Drosophila melanogaster: one gene and its partners. The protein of the gene in region 1 interacts with the protein of each later gene in a pairwise test. Each region holds a gene or a part of one and is shown in the gene's direction. Other genes may lie near its edges. The genes, in order: CG12236, GATAd and nau.

Region 1 (7,321 bases):
GGGCCTGGGCATTGGCAGCGCGGATCTTGAGCGGCTGCGCAATGTCAACATTGTCTATCATTCGGCGGCCAGTGTGCGGTGAGTACATATGTACATATATACGATCCAGGTTAGGATATACAAATCAATAATACATCATCTTTTAGCTTCGATGATGCCCTGAGCACGGCCATACTACTGAACACCCGTGGCACCCACGAGCTGGTCAAGTTGGCCCTGGAGTGGCCCAAGCTGAAGGCATTCGTCCACGTGTCCACCACCTACTCGAATCCGGGAGTTCTTGAGGTGGAGGAGCGCGTCTATCCACCGTTGGCCGACTGGCGTACAACTATCAAATTGGCGGAGACCTACGACGCCGAGATTCTGGACATCTTCAATCTCAAGTGAGTAGTGGAGTTGAGTGGAAAATAAGATGCTATATAATATGCACCTTGCAGGTATGGTAACTTTCAGCCGAACACGTACACCTTCACCAAAAGTTTGGCCGAGCAGGTGGTCAATGAGTACAGGGACAGGCTGCCCATCTTCATCTTTCGGCCATCGATTGTGGTCTCCACCATTGAGGAACCCGTGCCCGGCTGGGCGGACAACTTCAATGGACCCACGGGACTGCTGGTGGCCTGCGGCGTGGGCATACTGCGCTCCCAGAACTGTGATCCCAATATTGTGGCCGATTTCGTGCCCGCCGATATTGTGGCCCGTACACTGATCACCTCGGTGTACAAGTTCATGGGTGAATCGAAATCGCGGGCCAAGGACAGCGATCTGTATGTGGTCAACTGTGCCACGGCGAATATATCGCCGATCACCATGGGCGAGGTGATCGATATCGGTAAGACGTTCATCCGCAAGAATCCATTCGAGAAGACACTCTGGCTGCCCGGCGGCGGGATGACCACTTGTCCGGTTCTTCATTTTGTGCGGGTGAGTTTTGGTTTTGTTTATCCCAAATGTATATTAACCATGTTGATACTTTCAGTTCTGCACCATGCACCTGCTCATGGCCATCGTGGTGGACACTTTGCTGCGTCTCTATAATGAAAAGCCCTTGTAAGTTGCGGCGGATTTGATGAGGAAGTTAAATGTATATGAGAATGCCTTTTCCAGCCTGATGAAGCTACAACGCCGCATATTCGCCGCCTTCAGTGCGCTGCAAGTGTTTGCGATGACCGAGTGGCATTTTCAGAACGACAATTTCCGGGCTCTGCACGATGTAGTTCCGGCCAACGAAGTGTGAGTGCCCTTTTAACATTACATTTCTTATAGATGTATCTCTTTTCATTGATCTATCATTTAATTTCAGCTCCAACTTTGGCTTCATGCAGCACGCCAACATCAACTACACGGAGTTCTTCCAGCACGGAATTCGCGGCGCCAAGGAGTTCCTCCTGAAGGAGAGTCCCGAGAGCAGCAGTGCCGCCCGTTTTCGCGTCAAGATCTTCTACGTGCTGGACTTTCTTTGCCGGGGCATCGTCTATAGCTTCCTGCTGCGCCTGATATTCCGATTTCTGGTGCGATTGTGGTAGCGAGCCATTGAAGCCAACTATAGAAATGTAGTGCTTAGTAACATACACATATATATATATATTCTCCGGCATTGGTTAATTCTGTTTATTGCATTTAATTGTCACGTATTCCCTTGCATTTGTAGTTAAATTAAAATCAGAATTTTATAAAGCTGTGTGGGCACATTGTATGCGTTATGTTGGCAAAAGTAGAAATGCTAATTTTAAATATCCCGCCAAACTGTCGCTCTGTCTATGTGGCAGCTCTGGCTACACGCCACCTGGCGGCTGAAATGGCAGCCACCTGGTAGGTGGCAGCACACGCAGGGTTGCACCGAAATTGGCAAGAAAACAAAATGGAGGCGTATAATATTTTTGTTTGGCATAGAATATAAGAAATTCGTATTCGTGTGTGCGAACAGCGCCGTAAACAAACCCCGTAAAAGCGGGCAAAACAAAAAGTGCGAGCGGTCTTAGACCAAATAAAGAAATCCGCCGGAGTGGATCCACACGTTGCCGCATCGTTGAAAGGGTCGCAGAAACCGGAGGTGTTCCATATTCGCCACTTTTTTGCCAAGGCGGGCAGCTTCCCCCTTCCCGGGAATTGGCGCTAATTGGATTGGACTGGAAAGAGGAAGAGGCGGAAAGAGGAGAGCAGGAGAGGGCTAGGGCTAGGAGGCGGACGCAGAGAGGACGCCGCAATGGCCACCACCCAGCAGTACTCGCTGCGGTGGAACAACTACCTGCGCCACCTCACCTACTCCCTGGACAACCACCGGCTGAACGATGACTTCGTGGACGTCAGCCTGTGCGTGGATGGACGCAGGATCAAGGCCCACAAGGTGGTACTCTCCTCCTGCTCGTCCTACTTTAAGGAGATATTCAAGGAGAACCCACATCCGCATCCAGTCATTATATTTAAGTTTATCAAGTTCGAGGATCTCAATTCGATTATCGAGTTCATGTACCAGGTGGGTTTATATGGTATATATATAAATTGTCAGTATCTTGATGTTCATATAGTTCATTCCACAAGAGATCTTACCTGAAACGTATCAACTAATTCCACTTCTGTTTTAGGGCGAAGTCAATGTGCAGCAGGAGGCGCTGCAATCGTTCCTGCAAACTGCCGAGCTGCTGGCCGTCCAAGGACTCACCGCCGAGGAGAAGGAGAAGCCGCAGATCCCGGTGGCGCCGCTGATCAGCGAGCACAAGCTGATCAAGACCATACCGAGCACCATACGCGCGGTCAACGAGCAGCAGCAGCAGGTGTCCAATGTGGCCCAGGCGCAGACAGCTACGCAAACCATCGAAATACCCGCGGCCACTTTGCTGCAAGCCACCAACGCCAGCCAGGTGCCATCGCAGGTGGTCGCAGCAGCCGCAGCAGCCGCAGCGGCACAACAGCTGCAGGTCCAGCATCAACAGCAGCAGCATCACCATGTACAAACCACCCAGATTCAGCACATCCAAGTGCAATCGGCACCGCCCCCGCAACAGCAGCAACAGCAACAGCAGCAGCAGCAGCAGCAGCAGCAGCAGCAACAACAGCAGCAGCAGCAGCAATCACAGCAGCAACAAACGACGCCCGTGCAGACGCAACACCTGACCATCACCAATGCGGTGGCCCTGCCGGCGGCCAGTTCGGTTAAGAAGCGAAAGATCACGTTCTCGGACGACGACGACAACATGTACACCACCGAAACCGTTGACTACGCCGTCAAGGATGAGCAGACCATAGTGAAAAGTGAGTCTGGAGTGGATGCCACCATGTTTAGACATCATTTTAATAATATATTTCGATGTTTTTTTTTTTTTTTAGCTGCCGAGATGACTTTCCTGCGCGGCGCCGTCAAGATGGACATACCCGATTACATTGTTGGCGAAGTGGATGACCGCCTGTCGGATGGAGCAACGCCGCAAACGTCGCAGGATGCCACCACCGCAGCGGCGCAGAATGTGGCGCAGTACTCATCCGAGTATGAAATACTCACCGAGTCCGAAATGGAGGAGAAGTACCAGGCGGATGCGGACAACGCCGAAATTGCCATTGAGATGAGTGAGTTATATTTGGGCTATTCATATATAACCATGATTATTCAATCGATTTATCCATTGTAGCCCGATTGCTGGGCACCGCCAGCGGGACGCCGGGTGCGGGTTCCGGCCAAGTGATGGAGGATTCGGGTGGCGGCAGCGCGACGACTGGTCCCTCGACTACGGTGTCTGTGACGCAGGTCAAATCGGACAGCAAGGCCAGCGGGACGAATGGTGAGTAGTATCCGAACAACTGACTTGGGTTTAAGGTGTTTTTTTTTCCCCCCCATTTAAAGATATATTTTTATTACATGAATTGAAGTGATGCAGCAATGCATGTACATCGAACATAAGTGCATTTTCTTTACTTATTTCATAAGTTTGTACTTTATTTAGTTTGTACTTTCATGTCTTCAATGTTGACCATATTTTATGGTCCATTCGTTTTTTTTTTATCTGTTAAATGTTATGTTAATTTAACTATTAGTTGTTGTGGTTTGTCGAATATGTCTCCAAATGAATGGTGTGTTCTGCCCAGAGATTTAGGACGTAAGCAGCAATCGAGACTGTTATACTGATTGTACGTATTTTCTGTATATTTTTAGATTCGCCCAATAATAAGTGGACAGAATGTCAGTTTTGCAAAATGGTTATAACCACGGTTAATCTTTGGAGACATATTCGCACCCAACATACCCCACAACCGCCGCGCAAATGCGACATGTGTAATAAGAATTTTAAGAACAAGTACAGTCTGCGGGAGCACATACGCATCTCGCACGAACAGAAAGTGGCCATCAAGACGGAGAACTGATGCGTCTTCATAAGTCTCGGTCGCCTGCGAGCCGCATCTGGATCTGCAACTGCATCTGGATTGAGATCGATAGGATATACGGATAGGGGAGAGAGATATAGTTAATTACGTCCAGCTTAGCGAGCAGCCAGCAAAACCAATCAACCCAACCAGCCCATTCCCTCGTGTTTCGATCAAAGGCCCCAAAACGAAAACTAGCCAAATTTGTCAACTTAAATGCAAAGCAGATAGGAGTACGAAACGTTTATCCCTATATAGTTCTATATATAACACCTTGATAGCCACTAAGTCGAGTCAGTCAGTCAGTTAGTCAGTCGGTGGAGAGTGGAGCTGGTGATCCCGTCGTTGACCAAGCCATGTCATGTGTCCACGTAATGCGTACATGTACCACTTGTATTTTATAGTCTACCATTTGCTTTAGGTACTTCTTCATTATACAGACGGCAAGTTACAAGCCCTCGAAATCCATTGACACACCACAGAATGTATATAAACACACACACACACACACACAAACACACCCAAGATGACAAGAATTTTGGAAGATTTGAGAGCACTTTGGATGCTTAATAGCTTAGATCGAGTGATACTATGTGCAAGAGAACAGAACACAAGGATTTAATTTGATTGTAGAAAACTAATGTTATACTTAGCCCATATCGATCACTTTATTTTAGCTCTTAAACAACCTCATATGTATTTTTTGAAACTCTGATATTATTCAGTTTTTGTATATAGAGCTAGGCAACTTAACCTAAATTAAGGTAAACCCAAAAACAAAGTCCCCCCTCCATGAGATTCTCTGCCCAATTTGATTCCGCAGGAAGGAAGCTGTGTACTTTGCTCACAAGCAGAGATCAGGAGAATATGAGAAAATATATATATTACCCCTTGTGTACAAATTTAAATACGATTTAATCCAATTACCCGGCGCGCTTTTGACCATCTGTGTTCAGCATTAGAGCGTTGGCAGTTGACTGTAAATTAGCTAAATTAGTTTTAGTTTAGTTTAAGACACCACAAATTCGATTGGACATAGTTTAGTTATTCGGTGTAACTTAATTGAGTATACCAGCCCACACGAGCCAAGTGAAAACGGAAGTCATAGCGCGATAAGTTGAAAGTATTTTCAAAAAAAGAAAGCGAAGAAGAAAAGAGAAAAAAAAACCCGTAGAAATCCTCTCCAAGACAAACTCAAAGCCCATACATACTAAAGATAATCTAGTTAAATGAAACAACTCATACGTATTACTTATCGATCTATGTATACACATATATAGTTAACGTTATATCTCTCCATACTCCATACCATGCCCAAATTGACTTCACTCCCGGCCGCCGGCCGTAATCCTCCAGAAGAACCACCCACCAACCCACTAGATTCATTCAACTTCGTCAACGCTCTCAAAGAATTGAGAATATATCAACGAAGCAATGGGATTACGGCCGGAATGGGTTAACGGGTCAGTTGGGGCAACTGGATGGATGGATGGATAACTAGCTGAGATTCCAATTCCACCCCAAACACACAACTCTAAGTCTAAGCCATTCTGTACGTAGATTGATTTACACGCGTCAACGAAACGGTACTAAATTAATCAATTTAATTCGAGAAAGAGAACGAGATAGCTGCAGTGTTGGCGAAAAAGAGCGGGAGAGAAAATAAAATCATGTAAACCATTTAAACGCAAATGAACTTTATTCTCAATGGGCGCGGCAAAAAAACCTTCTTGTGTCCAACGATCTCATTAAAAACCAACTCTCTCTCTCTCTCTCTCTTGCAGCCGCTTTGAAGCCAGGATCCGTGACGGTTGCCAGGTCGTCCAAGAGTGGAGCAACTGCATCCGCGCCACCGGCTGGCAGCGATGAGGAGAGCGTCCAGTATACCGGCCTCGCACCGCTGAACTGCAGCTTCTGCGGCAGGCCGCTCAAGTCGGTGAACGCGCTGCGGCGACACATCGCCTCCAGGCATTCGGAGATTCAGGGCAAGGAGCACGAGTGCTTCATCTGCATGAAGAGCTTCAAGACAAAGTGGTCCCTCTCCACACACAACTCGCGTTTTCATCGCGAAATGGGCTGTTCGACCAAGGGATTCACCAAGATCGAGTACAGCGATCACTGAGACAGCGGTATGCCATTAATGTATCATTTAGTACGCCCAACTATCTGCACATGACCACTGCTGCCTTCATGGCTGGCTATCATTTAGAGGAGTTGAATTGCAGGCAAGCAGGGCATTTGGAAACTAACACCATAGTTACCAAGGATACTTATGCCCATTGATTAGCAATTGTTGCAAAGATACTTAAATACATTTATTGAATTCCCTTGCATCATCTGAAACAAACCACTCATCTCGAATAACAAAGCATTGTTTCGTGTAAATACTAGATACTCCATTCCAAAAATAAAACTCCATAGCTATGGTATGTAAACTGAAATGCGTTTAATGGCTTAACTACTAATTCCCACTTATGATATTAACAAGCGGACTTTTCGAGGATGTAAATCGTAAGGCGAACAAAAGAAAAAGGGACAAACAAAGCAGGCAGCACCTACAGGGTCTCCAGGCCGGGCAGCGGGAATTTCCTGCTGAACTGGGCCACATTCTTGCGGATCTCGTCCACCTGGGCCTTGAGCTCCACATTCTCGGCCAGCGTCTTGTGGTAATCGGTTATCTTGGGACTGCCGGCCAGCTTGGCTGCCTGGACGCCAACCTTTAGGGCAGCATCGATGAAGGCCACCACCTGCTCGATGTCCTGCTCGGCAAGGCCGCGAGTGGTCAGGGCCGGTGTGCCCAGCCGGATGCCGGAGGGATTCATGGCGGACTTGTCGCCGGGCACAGTGTTCTTGTTGCACGCGATGCCCACCTCCTCGAGGATGTACTCGGCCTTGGCGCCGGTCAGGCCAGCCTTACGCACATCGACCAGCACCAAATGGACGTCGGTGCCGCCGGTGGCCACCT
Region 2 (7,433 bases), on another chromosome or scaffold:
TACCTGGGTGGGATCGATAGTGGGCGCCATTCCTCCGCTGATGGGATGGGCTGGTTGTGCAGCCACCCTGGACGCCGGCGCCATGATCCTAGCCGGAGTGCTGTACGCGTGGCAGTTCCCGCACTTCAACGCTCTGTCGTGGAACCTCCGGCCGGATTATTCACGTGCCGGCTACCGAATGATGGCCGTTACCAATCCGGGTCTTTGTCGCCGCACTGCGCTGCGATATTCGGTGGCTATTGTCGGACTTTCAGCCATGGCACCCGTACTGGACGTCACGAACTACTGGTTTGCCTTGGAAACACTACCTCTGAACGCGTACTTCGCCTACCTTGGTAAATATACTCATTAACCATGGAATCCTATATGTTATGTCTAATACGTTCTGTTTGCTTGCAGCGTACAAGTTTCATGAAAAGTCAGATAGTGGGAGCTCGCGGAAGCTGTTCCGATTTTCACTGATACACCTGCCCGCCCTGATGCTGCTATTTCTGACCAATAAGAAGGAATGGTATTTCAGCAAACCCGCCGGTGAGGAGAACAAAAAGGAGTCCACGTACAGTGCGATAAAGCATTCTGCTAGCAGTCTTGGTAATGTCCTGCCCGTCGCCGTAGCCGAAGGACCCAGATAGAAATATTAACATTAATTTGATAAAATGTTAAGTATCGTGTGAAATTTAAATATACTTAGTGTTCTGCAACTTGTAAAAACAGTCATTTAATATTAAGGAAACACGTACCCCTGTGCGGCAAATATATGTTGCGCCTAATAAATGACACGACATCCTTGAAAAATATGCGGTGTAACCAATCCGGCGCTGAATACAAATAAATTTAAAATATACAATTTGGCATGGAATCTTAAGCCGTACAGTAATTTAAATTGCAAGATTCTAAGTATGACCTTATTATATTGTTCTTTGAGCACTTGTTTCAAAAAAAGCACGGAAACGGTAAAAATTGTTAGTGGAAGTAATCCCGTTTCCCGTTGTTTCATCGGTTGTTGAAAATAAGGAATTTAAATCTATTTTATTTTGATAAATTGTAGCAATCGAATCGAACGTATTATTTAAGGCATTGTAAGGCATCTCTTCTTCAGATTCCAGAGTTTATTCCTTTGGAGGGTTTTTTTTCCAAGATTAAAAAACGACATGCGCATTTCCTAGGGATAAGTATTCTAGCTATTTTAGGAACTATATTCCGCAATTGAAATAATTTTAATAATAATAGTAAAATCCGTCAGATAAATAGTCAAAAATTTCTAGCTAAAAATGAGTATAGCTGTACGTTATCGATAACAGAAATACCAAAAAGTTGCCCCTATTTCAGTATATTTCACTGGTTCCTCTGCTGTATGCGTTGGTCTTACAAATGAAAAGAACAATATTTTGTATTGTGTTGCAATAGCCTTGATGTTTTATCACAGAAGCACATTAGCATAATCACTGATTTATCGCGATGCCGAGATGAATCATGCAGCTAACGCGACTATCGCTGGAGCCCTCGTTTGGTAATTTGAACGGGAAACTAGATCAAATGAGCGAAAAATCTGTGGCGAACCACTGGAGTGAATTATTTTTAGTGAGCTGAACGTGGATTGTGACAATGAAAAATTGAGGAATAGTGTTTACATTCATTTTATAATTTATTTTACCAGTTATCTTTTTTATCGCGATAAAGGAGAGGCGTATGAAAGTTTCTTTACACAGTGCAAAACGAATATAAATTTCTAATTATGAATAATGTACCACATAAGTTTCGTCAAGTTTGTCGATTGTGCCTCACATTGGTTAACGAGTGCGATGTTGCAGTACTACAGATTTACGATAATTCGTCGCATAATAATAGTGCCCCAGACAGAATATCGGCCGATTTTCGTGGCGTCGCGAATCGTGCCAACTGCTTTTGCAGCGCTTTAAGCCCCAATCCGTGCAGTTGCATCGTTGATAACCCGCTATCAGCCAACAAAAATGAACGGCGCAACCAGGGAACACCCGTACCCGTGCCCATACCCATACCCGTTTCCGTGCCTGTGCCCGTTCCAAGCCAGCAGATCCAATCGCAAACCCTTCACCATCACCAAAACCAAACTAAAATCCATTACACGCCAAGTGTGCCTTCTGCTGCGGACGCAAAGTCGAGTGAGCGCGAACGCCAATGCCAATTGGAGTCGGACATCGCCGAGAGATCAACAGTATTCAAAAGTCAGTCATCGTCGGATCACGAACATATAGAATATAGCGGGGAGACGCCATCCCCCTCCGCATCGCTATCCCAATCCCAAACAAAATCGGAGCCAATGCGCGAGGAGGAGGAACATCAGCATAATCATAATCAGCAGAGCGGACGCGAAGAGACAAGTGTGAATACAACAAATATAAGCGGAACCGATAACTACGGCAAAGAGCACGGTCGGGATGATTCATCATCACCACATCTTACATTTCAGATATTCAACTGTCTCTCTATTAAGGTAAGCAGATTTCCATCCAACACATTTGCAAAGAAACGAATTTACATTAATTACGCACATACACAAGCATGCTCTTACCTGTGTGTGAGTTGGATATATCGCGTATATGTACACGATAATGCCCGCACACACGCGCACTTTTGCGAGTGCTTGCCGTGCGCTGGTGTGTGTTATCTATGTGATTACGACACCACACGTCAAAATAATAGGAAATGATTGGGCCGCTTTTATCCCATGGCCTATTAACAATCGGTATCAATTGTTTGGTATTTTTTCGATGAACCATTGCAAGGCATTGGCCCAGGCCCACGCACACCACGCCACACTCGTACATCAGTGTCCAGCGCACGAATGTAAATATTGCTATGTACATACGTGTGTGTATATGCACGCATGGATGTATGTTAGAGACCTACATACATTAATCCACCAAAGAGATAACATTCGTTTCGATTGTTTAAGTGCGGATATACCGACGTACATACACCTTATATGGCCCCAATGTGTTTTTTTTACATACTTCGAGTACTTTCATTTGTTATTATGTATTTATTTATTTATTGATTTGATAATTTGTGCTCTTAATGCATTTCATGAGCTTTAGTGTTTATTTCCGTAGATGAACATATGTTATTTTTTTTTTTTTTTATCATTTTATAGGGTTGTTTTTAATTTTTTTCAATTAAAATAATTTGTTTCATGAGATTTACAGAGATATAAATTGTATACTAAAGTTTTAATACATGTATAATGATAAAATTGATTAAAATACAAATAGTTTTAGCTTGATTTATACAATATCAAAGCATCCAATGTTCTTCTTTTAGTTCCAAGTATAACCAGTCATCAATCCCATCGATCGATTTTGTTACCGCCTTGCTCCTTAGTCATTGCATCATTCTCATTGCTAGCCAACTGAATATTAAAAGTGGATACTGCAGTATAAGATACATTCATATTTCTTTCAGGCACTGCCCAACGATGGATTACCCAACGTGGTTTGTGGCGACTGCAGACAAAAATTGGATTCCTTCGAAAAATTTCGAACCATGGCGCACAATTCACAAATAGCTTTGAAAGAATTTTTAAATATATCCAAAAATCTGAGACCAGTAAGTATAAGTATTGATTGGAAGGAACTTAGTTAGTCATACGCCATTAAATTAAATGACCATTTGAATTACTACTCACGAACTATGTTTTTTGCAGGACCCAAATGATTTGGAAACCAAGCTCGATGCAATTTTAAAGGCTTCATCGGAGGCTATAGCGGCAAAGGCTCTGACGGAGTTAAGCACGTTCTCTAAAGTTAAGTACGACCACAGTAAATTGGATTCCAGCATCCAACCCGGCTTGGATCGGAAAATCGAGATTAGCAATCAAGAAATGCCAGCACATAGCTTATATCCAAGTTTATTCAAATCAATTACTATGAAAAGCGATCAAAAGAGCAAAGCAATGTCTGGATCCTCACACAGCCAGTTTGATTCAAAACTGCAAAAGGACTCGGATATCGAGAAATATGAAAATCTGCAGCAGCAGCTTGAAACGGCTGCCGTTTTAATGGATATAAGCAAAAAAATAGTAATTTCCCCTCCATGTTCGAATCCGCAATCTCCGTGTTTTTCTGCAGCTGTAGATACAAGTATTAAAAGTTCTGTGATAAAATCAAAACGTCCATCAAACCAAAATGAAATTCAGGACGGTGTTGAAATTGACCTATCCGTCAAAAAACAAAAGAACGATTACTCTAATCAACGGAACGCGGCCCCAATACACCATTTTTGCCAAACTCCAATGCTTGATATTCAGTCACACTTAAGAAGTGAAGAGGATTTTCAAAACTACAGTATTACCATTAACCAAGTTGGTGGGTCCGACTTCAAATCAAAAGCACCCAAGGCGAGTACCGGCTCCTTGCTAGACTCTGGCGATAGTTCCGACTCTCACAAACTAGAGATGGACATCACGTCCTCCATAAATGATAGAAAGACTCCGGATAGCTTAAGCTCGGATCACGCCACAGATGCGGCAACTACTCAACTCTGGCAGGCACTGGCCAGATCAGCCGGTACGTATTATTATCCGACCACTGACCGCATATTATTATGAAAAACATTTCAATTTGATAGCTAAAAGCAAGGAGGACAATCCGGCATCACAAATATTTCGAAATATGATGAGCCAGCCTTTCGCGTTTCCGGTTCCGTCGACAGTATCATTTACAAAAGTACCTGAAGAACCCATAGCACTATTAAAGGTAAACTATTTCTTCTATTTCAAGTAGCAAGTAGCTATAGGAAAGTCTAATACTCTTTGTGTTCTTAGGATCTATCAGAGGCTCAATCCAGCAAATCAAAACCATGTAGAAGAAAACAAAGTTTTCCTACCAAAACTGATTGCATCGATGTAGTTAATGAGAATGTGACTGATACTTATACCACTTCAGAAGCAACTCCGGATGATAAGAAAGATAAAAGGGTACGTTATCACAGTCATCCTCATTGAATCACATACTAATTATATTATTTCTTGGTTCAATTCCGATTTCGTAGAACATAAACCTTTTTAATGCCATACCTGGTGCTCAAAAAGATATGTCATGTTCGAATTGTGGCACCCTCACCACAACAATTTGGCGGCGAAGTGTTCGAGGAGAGATGGTGTGCAACGCCTGCGGATTGTACTTCAAGCTGCATGGGGTCAACAGGCCGCATTCAATGAGACGCGATACCATACACACCAGACGCAGGCGTCCTAAAGAATTGGAGCGATCTAAAAAGAGTGAGTGAGAGTTCGAAATTTATCTACATTTTTCGATTCGAAAGCTAGCCCTCTGTGACCCATAGATTTATTTATTTTTTGAGTATCTAACAATGAAAACAATTTGTTTACTTAATGTTTTTTTTTTATGTTCCCTGACCATTTTATTGTTGGTAATTAAATGTAACTTGCCAAAACAATTTATTTTTCTGTTAATATGTTCATTAAGCTATTGATTTAGCAATCGGAATATTAACCGCGTACCCACCCAAAATATTTTCTTGCTTGTCCAATCATATTTTATGATGTCATTGTTGTAGATGGCATTGGACGTGCCTGTTAAGTCGTTAAACTGCTCAAGTTTGAATAAATATCTACGAGCCTTTCATTATTAATTGTATGATTTATTTGCGAAAATTATAAATATACACTTTCTTTTGCAGAACACAAACAAATGTCATCATGTTCTTCAATAGAAACAACGAAGCAAGATTTCTTGACGGCTAGGGAATCTCTAGCCATTTCGGGCCTTGTTTTAAATGTATGTATCTGCACTATTACTTTAAAGTCTTGATAAGTAGATTGATCAACTAGATCTATTTGCATAAGATTTAAATACACTTAAACTTCAATTTTCTAATATGTTTTTATTTTAGAAATTCAAAAAGGAAATTGATGATACCGAGACCCCAGCCGCAGCAGCACTTAAAGATATTTTATCAAGGCGTAAGAAGTCAAATTCTTTGCCGGCGTTTAATGATACCTGTGAAAGTGCGGATCTATCCGCACCGCTTAACCTTGTTTCCAGTGAAAATAATGCAAAGTTAACATAAAACGCCAAATATATTCCCCCTACTCACTTTTCGAAAAAAAAAGAAGAACCTTTAACCCACATTTTGTTTATTTATGAGGTCGCGTAAGAGAGAAAAACAAATGGTATAGGATTAAAAATACGTATAGATTATTAATAAAATTTTCATTCTTTAAAACTAAATTTTATTCATTTGTATCTTTAAAAACTAATACCAAAATACTTATTAGTGTAAAAGAGGTATGAAAATTGAACCAGTATGTCAAAACTTTTAAATAATATCACACTAAATATAGACCTTAAGAGAGGACATCAATACTTAATGCAATTAAATTAAAAATAAAATTTATTATATTTATATTTATTAAAACCATTTTACAGTATTTTTAATTTTTTAATAACACAAATCGCTTCTATTAAAATGAAAAGTTCAGTTTTAACAATGATTTTTCAGCTGTCTTTGCAATTGAACAACTTCTAAAGCTAAAAAATAATAATGTTTTAAATCTCTTGCCTATACGAAAATCATGTGATAATATAATAATCTCCACAAAACATTTTAATAGTAAAACTATGCAAAAAGCAATAATCACGCAATGCAAACTTTTCAAGGAAATATTTAAATTATATACAATTATAAGAAACTAAAAAACTTAATGCTGTTTTCGAATCTACATAAATTGTCTAAATAAAATAAGGACTTCATAATAGGCTAAGATACAAAAAATATTACTCATTTATTTTTTCAAATAAAATACTCTATACAATTTTTAACAATCACAATAAAACTGGTTAATGTAAAATGAAAATCCAAATTCTACTGTTTTTTTTTAACTATTTGCCTGGGGTATGGGATAAGCAACCGAAAAATCTGTTAAACTAATGATGAGAATTTGAAAAAATATATATTAAAGATATTTAAGTATCTTAATTCGAATAGAAAGGGACTTACATTTTTACCGCCGACTGTTCAATGAGAAATGCTGTAAGTGGAAACATGCTGTTAGACTCCCGAATTATCGATGTAGTACAACAAGCACTCGCATCGATAGTCCCATCGTTTACTTTACATCACCAGGCGTTGTTTTGGTATCAGATCAGATCCATTTGTTATTGCCAGCCAGCAGCATGTTGGAGAACGGTTCGCACTTCTTCGAGGGCGTTGAGAAACTCCTTGAGATTTGGTTTGAGGAGAGCTCCAACGGTGACGATGATCTGCGTAACATCAGCAGGTGAGTCCCTCAACAAGTGCGGAACCCAAACAGCCGACATGTCCTTTGTGCACAAGTGCATGCACAGTTGCGGGCAAAAGTATACGTACATATGCGCCGTTCATTTTCGTCCTGAAAAGAAATGAAATGTATTTCTACACTGATAATTATCTTT
Region 3 (7,873 bases), on another chromosome or scaffold:
ACTGTAGTGGCTCCCTGATTAACAAACGCTACGTCCTCACCGCTGCACACTGTGTGGTCAAGGATAAAATGGTGAACACAGATTTGGTGCTCAGGAGAGTGCGGCTGGGCGAGCATGATATTACCACCAATCCGGATTGCGACTTTACAGGAAACTGCGCTGCCCCCTTTGTAGAGATCGGCATCGAGTATTTCAATGTCCACGAACAATATTTCAACACCTCAAGGTTTGAAAGCGATATCGCCTTGGTGCGTCTTCAAACGCCAGTTCGGTGAGTATTGCAATATAAGGCATCATTTTCTGACTATTATGAACCAAAGTTTTTATTTCCTTAGATATACCCACGAAATTCTACCGATTTGTGTGCCGAAAGATCCCATCCCCTTGCATAATCACCCATTGCAAATCGCCGGTTGGGGCTACACGAAAAACAGAGAATATAGTCAGGTGTTGTTGCATAACACCGTTTATGAAAACAGATATTATTGCCAAGACAAGATATCGTTCTTCCGCAACGAATCACAAATCTGTGCTTCTGGCATTCGAGGAGAAGACTCCTGTGAGGGTGATTCCGGAGGTCCCTTGATGTTAACCCTTAATAATGATTACCAGGATATCGTATATCTGGCCGGTATCGTTTCATATGGAAGTGAGAATTGCGGAGATAGAAAACCAGGTGTTTACACAAAGACTGGAGCATTTTTCTCATGGATAAAGGCAAATTTGAAGCCATAACTTTCTTGCTAAGGAATCTCGACTAGTGTATGGTGTTTGTTAATATGTGAATGCATTTTGTTTGTATGAGTGAATGTGTTTTTTTTGTGGATTATGGAATTATGGAAAATTCAATCAAGTAGCCAGTAAAATCAAATATGCACATAAGAATGAGTTTTAATATGTATTTTATTTATTTGATTAAATTAATAACACAATAAATCGAATTTACTTAATGATTTTGATTTTTTAAACGTTCTTTTCTGAGTTACATTTGTGCGTTGACAGTACACTGCCCGAAAACAAAGGCCGATAATGATTAAATTTACAATTGGGATTATCGTGTGGCACAACAAATAGTCTTTGCCACCAAAATACCATCAGACCGAATCAAAACAAAGCATCCATCAAAGTACGGCAAGATGGAAAATGTGAGGAGAAAATACGAAATGGAAAAAGACGAGAAGGGAAAAGTGGAAAAATGAAGATGGAAAGTGCTCGAGCAAACCACGGTCCTAAGACAAAAGATTTACAATATCGCTGGGGAAGATTTAAAGGTGATTTCCAAAGATATATATTGTGCCTGAGCAGCGATAAATAAACACAATTCTTTGACTATTTTTATTTCGGCCTCTCCTATTTTATTTATTTTTTTGCTCAATTTCTCGCTTTTTTCTCGGCCGTTGCAACTATAACTCAATAGAAAAGTGGCTGCCATTGATGGGATCTGTGGACGGGGGGCCGGATTTTCCACTAAATGTGTCACATTAACGAATTGTTGAGCTCCCCGAAAGCTAATTTATGCCACCACCTCCCCCACCAACCCACACTAATCGCTGGCCAGGTAAAATTCAATTTATTTGATTTGAACTAAGCCTTTCACAAACACGCTTCACATTGAGCGGAAAATCGCGTTGAAAACTCACGAAAATTAAAAAAAAAAGGGGAGGGGCGTGGCCTGCGGCAGCGTCCTTCTGCCTTAGAGAACCGCCAATGTCGTCTAATGGCGGGGCGCCTCTAAAAATAGGAACCACTCGAGAGCCACTCAGCCACTCAAAACGCAGCAGCATCCGCACTCCGAGAGGATCGCGAGCACATCTGGGGGCCCACGATATCTTGGATTCTTGGATATTGTCACCAAATGTGTTGCGATTGCGACGGAAGGCGGTACACACACTCGCGTACGGTCCGCAAATCGAAGTCGAAAAATATTTTTGAAAATGTCGGAGGTTTTTACAAAGCATCATTAAAGTGTAACCAACTAATTAAGGTTCTATTTTAAAAATCCCGAAAGTGAAACTATAACAAATTAAATTAAATAGAAACCACAGCCTAAAACTTGTGTGTAACCATAACTCATAAATTTGTGTTAATGACCTAGCATACCTAGAAAAAGAGCTTAAACCACGTTAAAAATGGTAATAATCAACTGACTAAATTAACTGTGCCATCGTAATTAGTATCAGCAATTAAATTCAGCAACTTGTTGAACTACCAAAATTGTTTTGTAAAATATAACAAAATCGTAGTGAAGTGAAAAATGACCAAGTATAATAGTGGCAGCAGTGAAATGCCTGCGGCTCAAACCATCAAGCAGGAGTACCACAATGGCTATGGTCAGCCGACACATCCTGGATACGGATTTAGCGCCTATAGCCAACAGAATCCGATAGCCCATCCCGGCCAGAATCCACACCAGACACTGCAGAATTTCTTTAGCCGCTTCAATGCCGTCGGTGATGCGAGTGCGGGAAATGGTGGAGCGGCTTCCATCTCAGCCAACGGATCGGGTTCGTCTTGCAACTACAGTCATGCGAATCATAATCCGGTTGAGCTGGACAAGCCATTGGGCATGAATATGACACCGTCGCCCATCTACACCACCGACTACGATGACGAGAACAGCAGTCTCAGCTCCGAGGAGCACGTCCTGGCGCCCCTCGTCTGCTCCTCCGCCCAATCCTCCAGACCATGCCTCACCTGGGCCTGCAAGGCGTGCAAAAAGAAGAGCGTCACCGTGGACCGTCGGAAAGCGGCCACTATGAGGGAACGCCGGAGACTGCGAAAGGTAGGCATCCCATGCTCACATTACACACATTTTCAGATTTATCAAATATTAAAAACATATTGTGCAATAACTACTGATACAAATACAGCACTTTCATCTTTCAATCATTCATTAAAAGAATGGTTCACTTTAAAAGTAGATTTTTGATTCATTCAATTCATTATTATAATAATAACTTAAAACTGCTTATGGGGACTTGAATATAGGCATACCACTCAGAACTCTGTTCAAGAGTCCTTTTCCATCAGCAGGCTTATTAATCCTCGGTCGATCTTAAAAATAGATTACGCCACAGTTCGCAAGTCCCCTGCGTTTAAGGACTGCAACTTTGTAGTAATTTCATTAGCTCGGCTAGCACCCCACAAATTAACACATCGCCACCAGGGAGGATCGGATCCATTGACATAACGCGCAGAAAGGGAAACCACCCAACATGCGTAAAACATAAACATTTGCCAAGACCAAGAGTTAAACAGCGGCATTTATGAGTTCGACGGTCGTAAAAGTTTTGGATGAACCACACGTATTTATAGCTCCACATAGAGACATTAGTGAAAGGCGGAAAATCGTGGGAGCTCCGGTTAGAAGGGGTATGGTGATGGGGGGCTGTCATAAAGAGACAGACGACGGGCGAACGGCTTAATTGTTGAAAATTTTATGCTCTATTTAATTTAAAATATGTTTTATTAAAGAGCCACTTAAAAGGGGAACACGCCGCGTGTTCTGTGTTTTTATGGCACGCCTAATGGATTTCCATGATTTCAACGATGGCCATTAATTGATTATTATTCCGTTCACATTCTAGGTTAACGAGGCCTTCGAGATCCTCAAGCGACGCACTTCATCCAATCCCAACCAGCGCCTGCCGAAGGTTGAGATATTGCGCAATGCCATCGAGTATATCGAGAGCCTGGAGGATCTGCTACAGGTAAATGAGTGAACTCATCTCACCGCGAATAGAGAATACCATTGGTTAAATTGATTATCTTAGGAATCCAGTACCACACGCGATGGCGACAACCTGGCGCCCAGTTTGAGCGGCAAAAGCTGCCAGTCCGATTATCTGGTAAGTTTTGTCCACTAACCGCCAATTAATATTAAGCCCACAATATCGGCGCGTATATCGTTCCGCAATTATTTTCTCGTAAAATTCTCATGCATGAGCAGCGCTTTCGTACATTTTTCTTTGGCGACGCGCACATTCATCAAAATCTCAGGGTCTGGTCCGTCGCAATGGCGAACATGAAAATAGAATATGTATACGGACGGATCCCCGAAAGAGTCAGTCCCCAAACTGTATCTGATATCTGTTGTATCTGCTGACCGGAATTTATGCGCTCGCTGACGTGCTACTTAATAAGCTACGCCGGCAGCCCATCATCCACATTTCTGAATCACATTCACTCGAAAACCGGGAATATTATGAGTTATGATCGAGAAAGTTTGCCCAGATGTGAGGGGAGCAAACTTTTATCAAAGGAACGGGGGAAAAAAAATTTAGAGGAAAAATAGCTGGAGAATTTAGGAGAATTTACAGGGGAAAGGGTCGTTGTCTGCATTTAGTGAAAGGCAATAAATAAATTTTCTTTTTATAAGCCCGAATGGAAATCGTGTTGTAAATTAATTACAACAAATTCGTTGGAGCAGGAATCGGCACCAGAATCTTCATCCCCATGTTTGGTGGATTGCGACGATCGCTTTTCTGTTTCATAATAGCTTCCCTGCGACGTGGAACCAAAACCGTTGTGGCAGTTGACAAATTGCACAGGAAAAACATGACAAGATCTCGGGGTGTTCTTCTTCGAAAGGTGTTGCAAGATATGGCCAAGTCGTTGGTCATTGAAGGGAAATGAAAATGAATGAAAAATGGGGGGGGGGGGACGGGAGCGGGTTGTACATGCATATCTACTCCCGAATGACAGGGCAACAAATTGTCAACAATTATGCAAACATTTTTGCCATCATCTTCAACGCCCTCTTTTCTTTTCATTTTCATTTGACTTTCGGGTTGGCCTGCGCTGAGTAATTTCCATGCAGTTTGTTTAAGTTTCTCACAATTTTAATGTACAAATTTGTTAATTTACCATAAAACTTAGCGTATTTGTATGTTGACTGCGCCCCCCATTGGCAGATATTAATGTGCGGCCATAGTTTGATTAAAAACTGGCATAGCGCCAAACGTGCAGACATTCAAATGCATCTCAGACCCTGGCAATCCATCCATCTCATCCATATCCATTCATTTGGAGCCCGTGTATTTATAAACCTCGGCGACTTAAGTAAAAGATTTCCTTTTGAACTGTTTCCAACACGAAATGCGAACGCTAAGTTGGCCCATAAATTTCCTTATCGCCGCCAATAAAGTGTAGTACTTGCGATATACAAAAGTGCCACCTTGTCTATATCAGTCAAATTTCTACGTAATGAAATACATAGCCGCAATCATTGAAGTCTTAAGATAGAGCTTTTCGGTGCAAATGACTCACGGAAAGATGTGGGTAACGTGGGTGCAAACCATCCATTTGGACAGTGAGTCAGGATTGATCGGATTCCCTACCATTCAGTTTTTAAACTATTATCAGGTACAGATATGCTACCGAAAACTTTTGTTATCTTTGAATAGCTTTACAGCTACACTATTAGATATTTTCTACGAATGGAAAGCAGTTTATAAATGATATTGCAAATTATTGAGAAGAGATAATTGGTGTGATTTTTATGGTCTAACCACCACTGATAATCTTTATCACACGTCCCCGTTTCAAAAAGTAACTTTTTCAGTTTCCGAGAAAGATTGATTAAATAATTCCGAAAATAAACATCAACATTATTTGCATCTTATTAAAAATGTAAATACATATCTGGCAAGTAGTTCTTGCATTTTTTCGGTGATATTTCCGAAATGGATTATGAGATCTTACGACTGACCGCACAACTCGCAGAGAAGTGGCAATATTTTTAAAGTGGGTTTAGTATATTAAAAGCATATTTCATGGTAAAAACTCATGCAACTTATGGCTAACAAATCGCATAATGCCGCATATCCGTTACACGCTCACAGATCGGAGGAGAACATCTAAGGGGAACGCGCCAAAAAGCGGCTTAAAATCTTTACGCAACCGAAGAATCGGAATGCCCAAGTGATAAGTGGCATTTCATTCAGATACAACGCATGATATATGCTCAAAAAAAAAAAAATAAAATAAAATACACCGAAATACCATAAAGACCTGCAAACAAGTACACAGAAAGAAGTCGGGCATGTCTAAAAATATATTTCGAACATGCTTGTTAAATTGAGAATTTATTTCCAAAGAAATTTTTCAATATTCGGTATTATATTGTCATATAAATAGACTTTATTGCTTTTAACCCAGTTGTGCTATTTTTGTGTAATTTTTCCCAGTGTATCCGCTTGCTGACTGCGGCATATCGAGCGCAGGCTGTCACTAAACGCTTGAAAAAAATGATAAATCGCTTTATAAAAGTGCAGTGTGAGTTCATCTGCTCTCGTTCAGTTTAGTTCACTTCACTCGGCTTTGAATGCTATTCTGTTGTTTTATCACTCCGTACTTTGTTGTCCGCTAAATATAAACAGACGTACATACATATAAGCCATACGGGATGCCCTGTATTTGTCGATCCTTGCAGACGAAGTGACGGCACTTTGGATGCACCAGATGCGGATTTGGGGGGGGGGGGGGGGCAGCAAGGAAACCCACCCAGAAGTGGCAATTATAATTTGCTTAGCATCGGCGTTATAGCGAATTTTTCTAATGAAATCCCGACCGAATCTCCGGATGCCTTGTCTGTCGTCTGCGTATGCGCAAAATTAATTTAATTGCCTCTAAAGTGCACTGCACACAATGCCCCACAATGTTGGGGCAGACAATGGGTGTGGTGCGGTGGTTCAATGCGTTTTAATTGGCCTGTGGAATCTCTTTACTGGCATAAATTTTGGCTTAATCTCATCATTAGACTGCATTCTGTATGGCACTCGTTGGCCAAGTTGACAGGACCGGAGCAAATTTGACGTTGTCATTTCGACGGCGACACTTTTCTGTAATTTATTGTTTCCCCAATTTCGCTTGAGGCCAACTAAAAAAAAAATATATGATTTTTCCATTTGTATTTATTTATGTTTTTCCTTGCAGAGCTCCTATGCTGGCGCTTATCTAGAAGATAAACTTAGTTTTTACAACAAACATATGGAGAAATATGGTCAGTTTACAGGTAAAAGTAAAAAAAAAAAAGTATTTGATGTATTTATCTAAAATATTTTTGTATAGACTTTGATGGCAATGCCAATGGCTCCAGTTTGGACTGTCTAAATCTGATTGTTCAGAGCATCAATAAGAGCACCACGAGTCCCATTCAAAATAAGGCCACGCCCTCCGCTTCAGATACCCAATCGCCGCCCTCATCCGGAGCAACTGCACCCACTTCTCTGCACGTGAACTTCAAACGGAAGTGCAGCACTTAGCACTTAAGTATCAGCACCTTAGGCAATTGTAAAGCTATTTTTAAGAGGATACACGAGATACCCAGTGACCCGAATAGGCCTTAAATTATTTGTATAGCATTAGAACTTAATTAAATGGTAATTCAAAACAGCAACTAGAGTCGTCTTACTTAATCTAGCTCCAATTTGCGGAAGGAACCGCTCATCCCGTCCAGTTCTCCATTGGCCCAGGCACTGGCCAATCCGACGCGCAGTTTCTCATTAGTACCATACTGGGCATCCTTGGCCAGATAATCCTTGCTGTCCAGCAGCTTCTGGCGCCAATGATCCACTGCCTCTGCCTGATAGCCATTGGTGCCACCATACTCGATGGTCATCACATCTCTGGGCAGGTGCTGGTACAGATCCTCCGACTTTTTGTGGACCACGAACTGTGTAGAATATTGTAGAGATTAATTACCAATCCTAACGCAATTCAAGCTTTTTGATGATAGATTCACCTTGAAAGGCAGTTTGGAGGGCAAAAACTTCGTTACAAAATTGAATATGGTTTGTCCCTCCTTGCGCATATTGATCATATGAATCTCAACAAATCGCAGTGGTATGCATTGGTCCACCAGAGCAAATGC

Evidence for each region.
Region 2: the proteins of CG12236 (region 1) and GATAd interact in a two-hybrid assay, tested with the Drosophila melanogaster proteins (one large-scale study listed by BioGRID).
Region 3: the proteins of CG12236 (region 1) and nau interact in a two-hybrid assay, tested with the Drosophila melanogaster proteins (one large-scale study listed by BioGRID).

What each region holds. Positions count from the first base shown.
Region 1 is NC_004354.4:5,906,286-5,913,606, forward strand, and holds CG12236 (uncharacterized protein), read left to right. Parts: upstream 1-1,849; 5' UTR 1,850-2,206; coding exon 2,207-2,476; intron 2,477-2,585; coding exon 2,586-3,252; intron 3,253-3,327; coding exon 3,328-3,564; intron 3,565-3,626; coding exon 3,627-3,776; intron 3,777-4,147; coding exon of another isoform or gene 4,148-4,356; exon of another isoform or gene 4,357-5,504; intron 5,505-6,140; coding exon 6,141-6,478; 3' UTR 6,479-6,794; downstream 6,795-7,321. Other genes in the region: CG4020 (uncharacterized protein), read left to right, coding at 1-78, 147-383, 438-924, 980-1,050, 1,108-1,233, 1,304-1,526; Shmt (serine hydroxymethyl transferase), read right to left, coding at 6,912-7,321.
Region 2 is NT_033779.5:10,332,340-10,339,772, forward strand, and holds GATAd (GATAd), read left to right. Parts: upstream 1-1,574; 5' UTR 1,575-1,735; coding exon 1,736-2,473; intron 2,474-3,441; coding exon 3,442-3,585; intron 3,586-3,682; coding exon 3,683-4,544; intron 4,545-4,605; coding exon 4,606-4,733; intron 4,734-4,801; coding exon 4,802-4,954; intron 4,955-5,028; coding exon 5,029-5,257; intron 5,258-5,679; coding exon 5,680-5,777; intron 5,778-5,892; coding exon 5,893-6,069; 3' UTR 6,070-6,846; downstream 6,847-7,433. Other genes in the region: Cox10 (cytochrome c oxidase assembly factor 10), read left to right, coding at 1-335, 400-632; SamDC (S-adenosylmethionine decarboxylase), read left to right, coding at 7,176-7,279.
Region 3 is NT_033777.3:23,712,338-23,720,210, reverse strand, and holds nau (nautilus), read left to right. Parts: upstream 1-1,853; 5' UTR 1,854-2,254; coding exon 2,255-2,782; intron 2,783-3,587; coding exon 3,588-3,710; intron 3,711-3,773; coding exon 3,774-3,848; intron 3,849-6,897; exon of another isoform or gene 6,898-6,936; coding exon 6,937-7,015; exon of another isoform or gene 7,016-7,071; coding exon 7,072-7,265; 3' UTR 7,266-7,397; downstream 7,398-7,873. Other genes in the region: CG10232 (uncharacterized protein), read left to right, coding at 1-271, 336-735; CG10300 (uncharacterized protein), read right to left, coding at 7,415-7,675, 7,745-7,873. UniProt on the Drosophila melanogaster protein: May play an important role in the early development of muscle.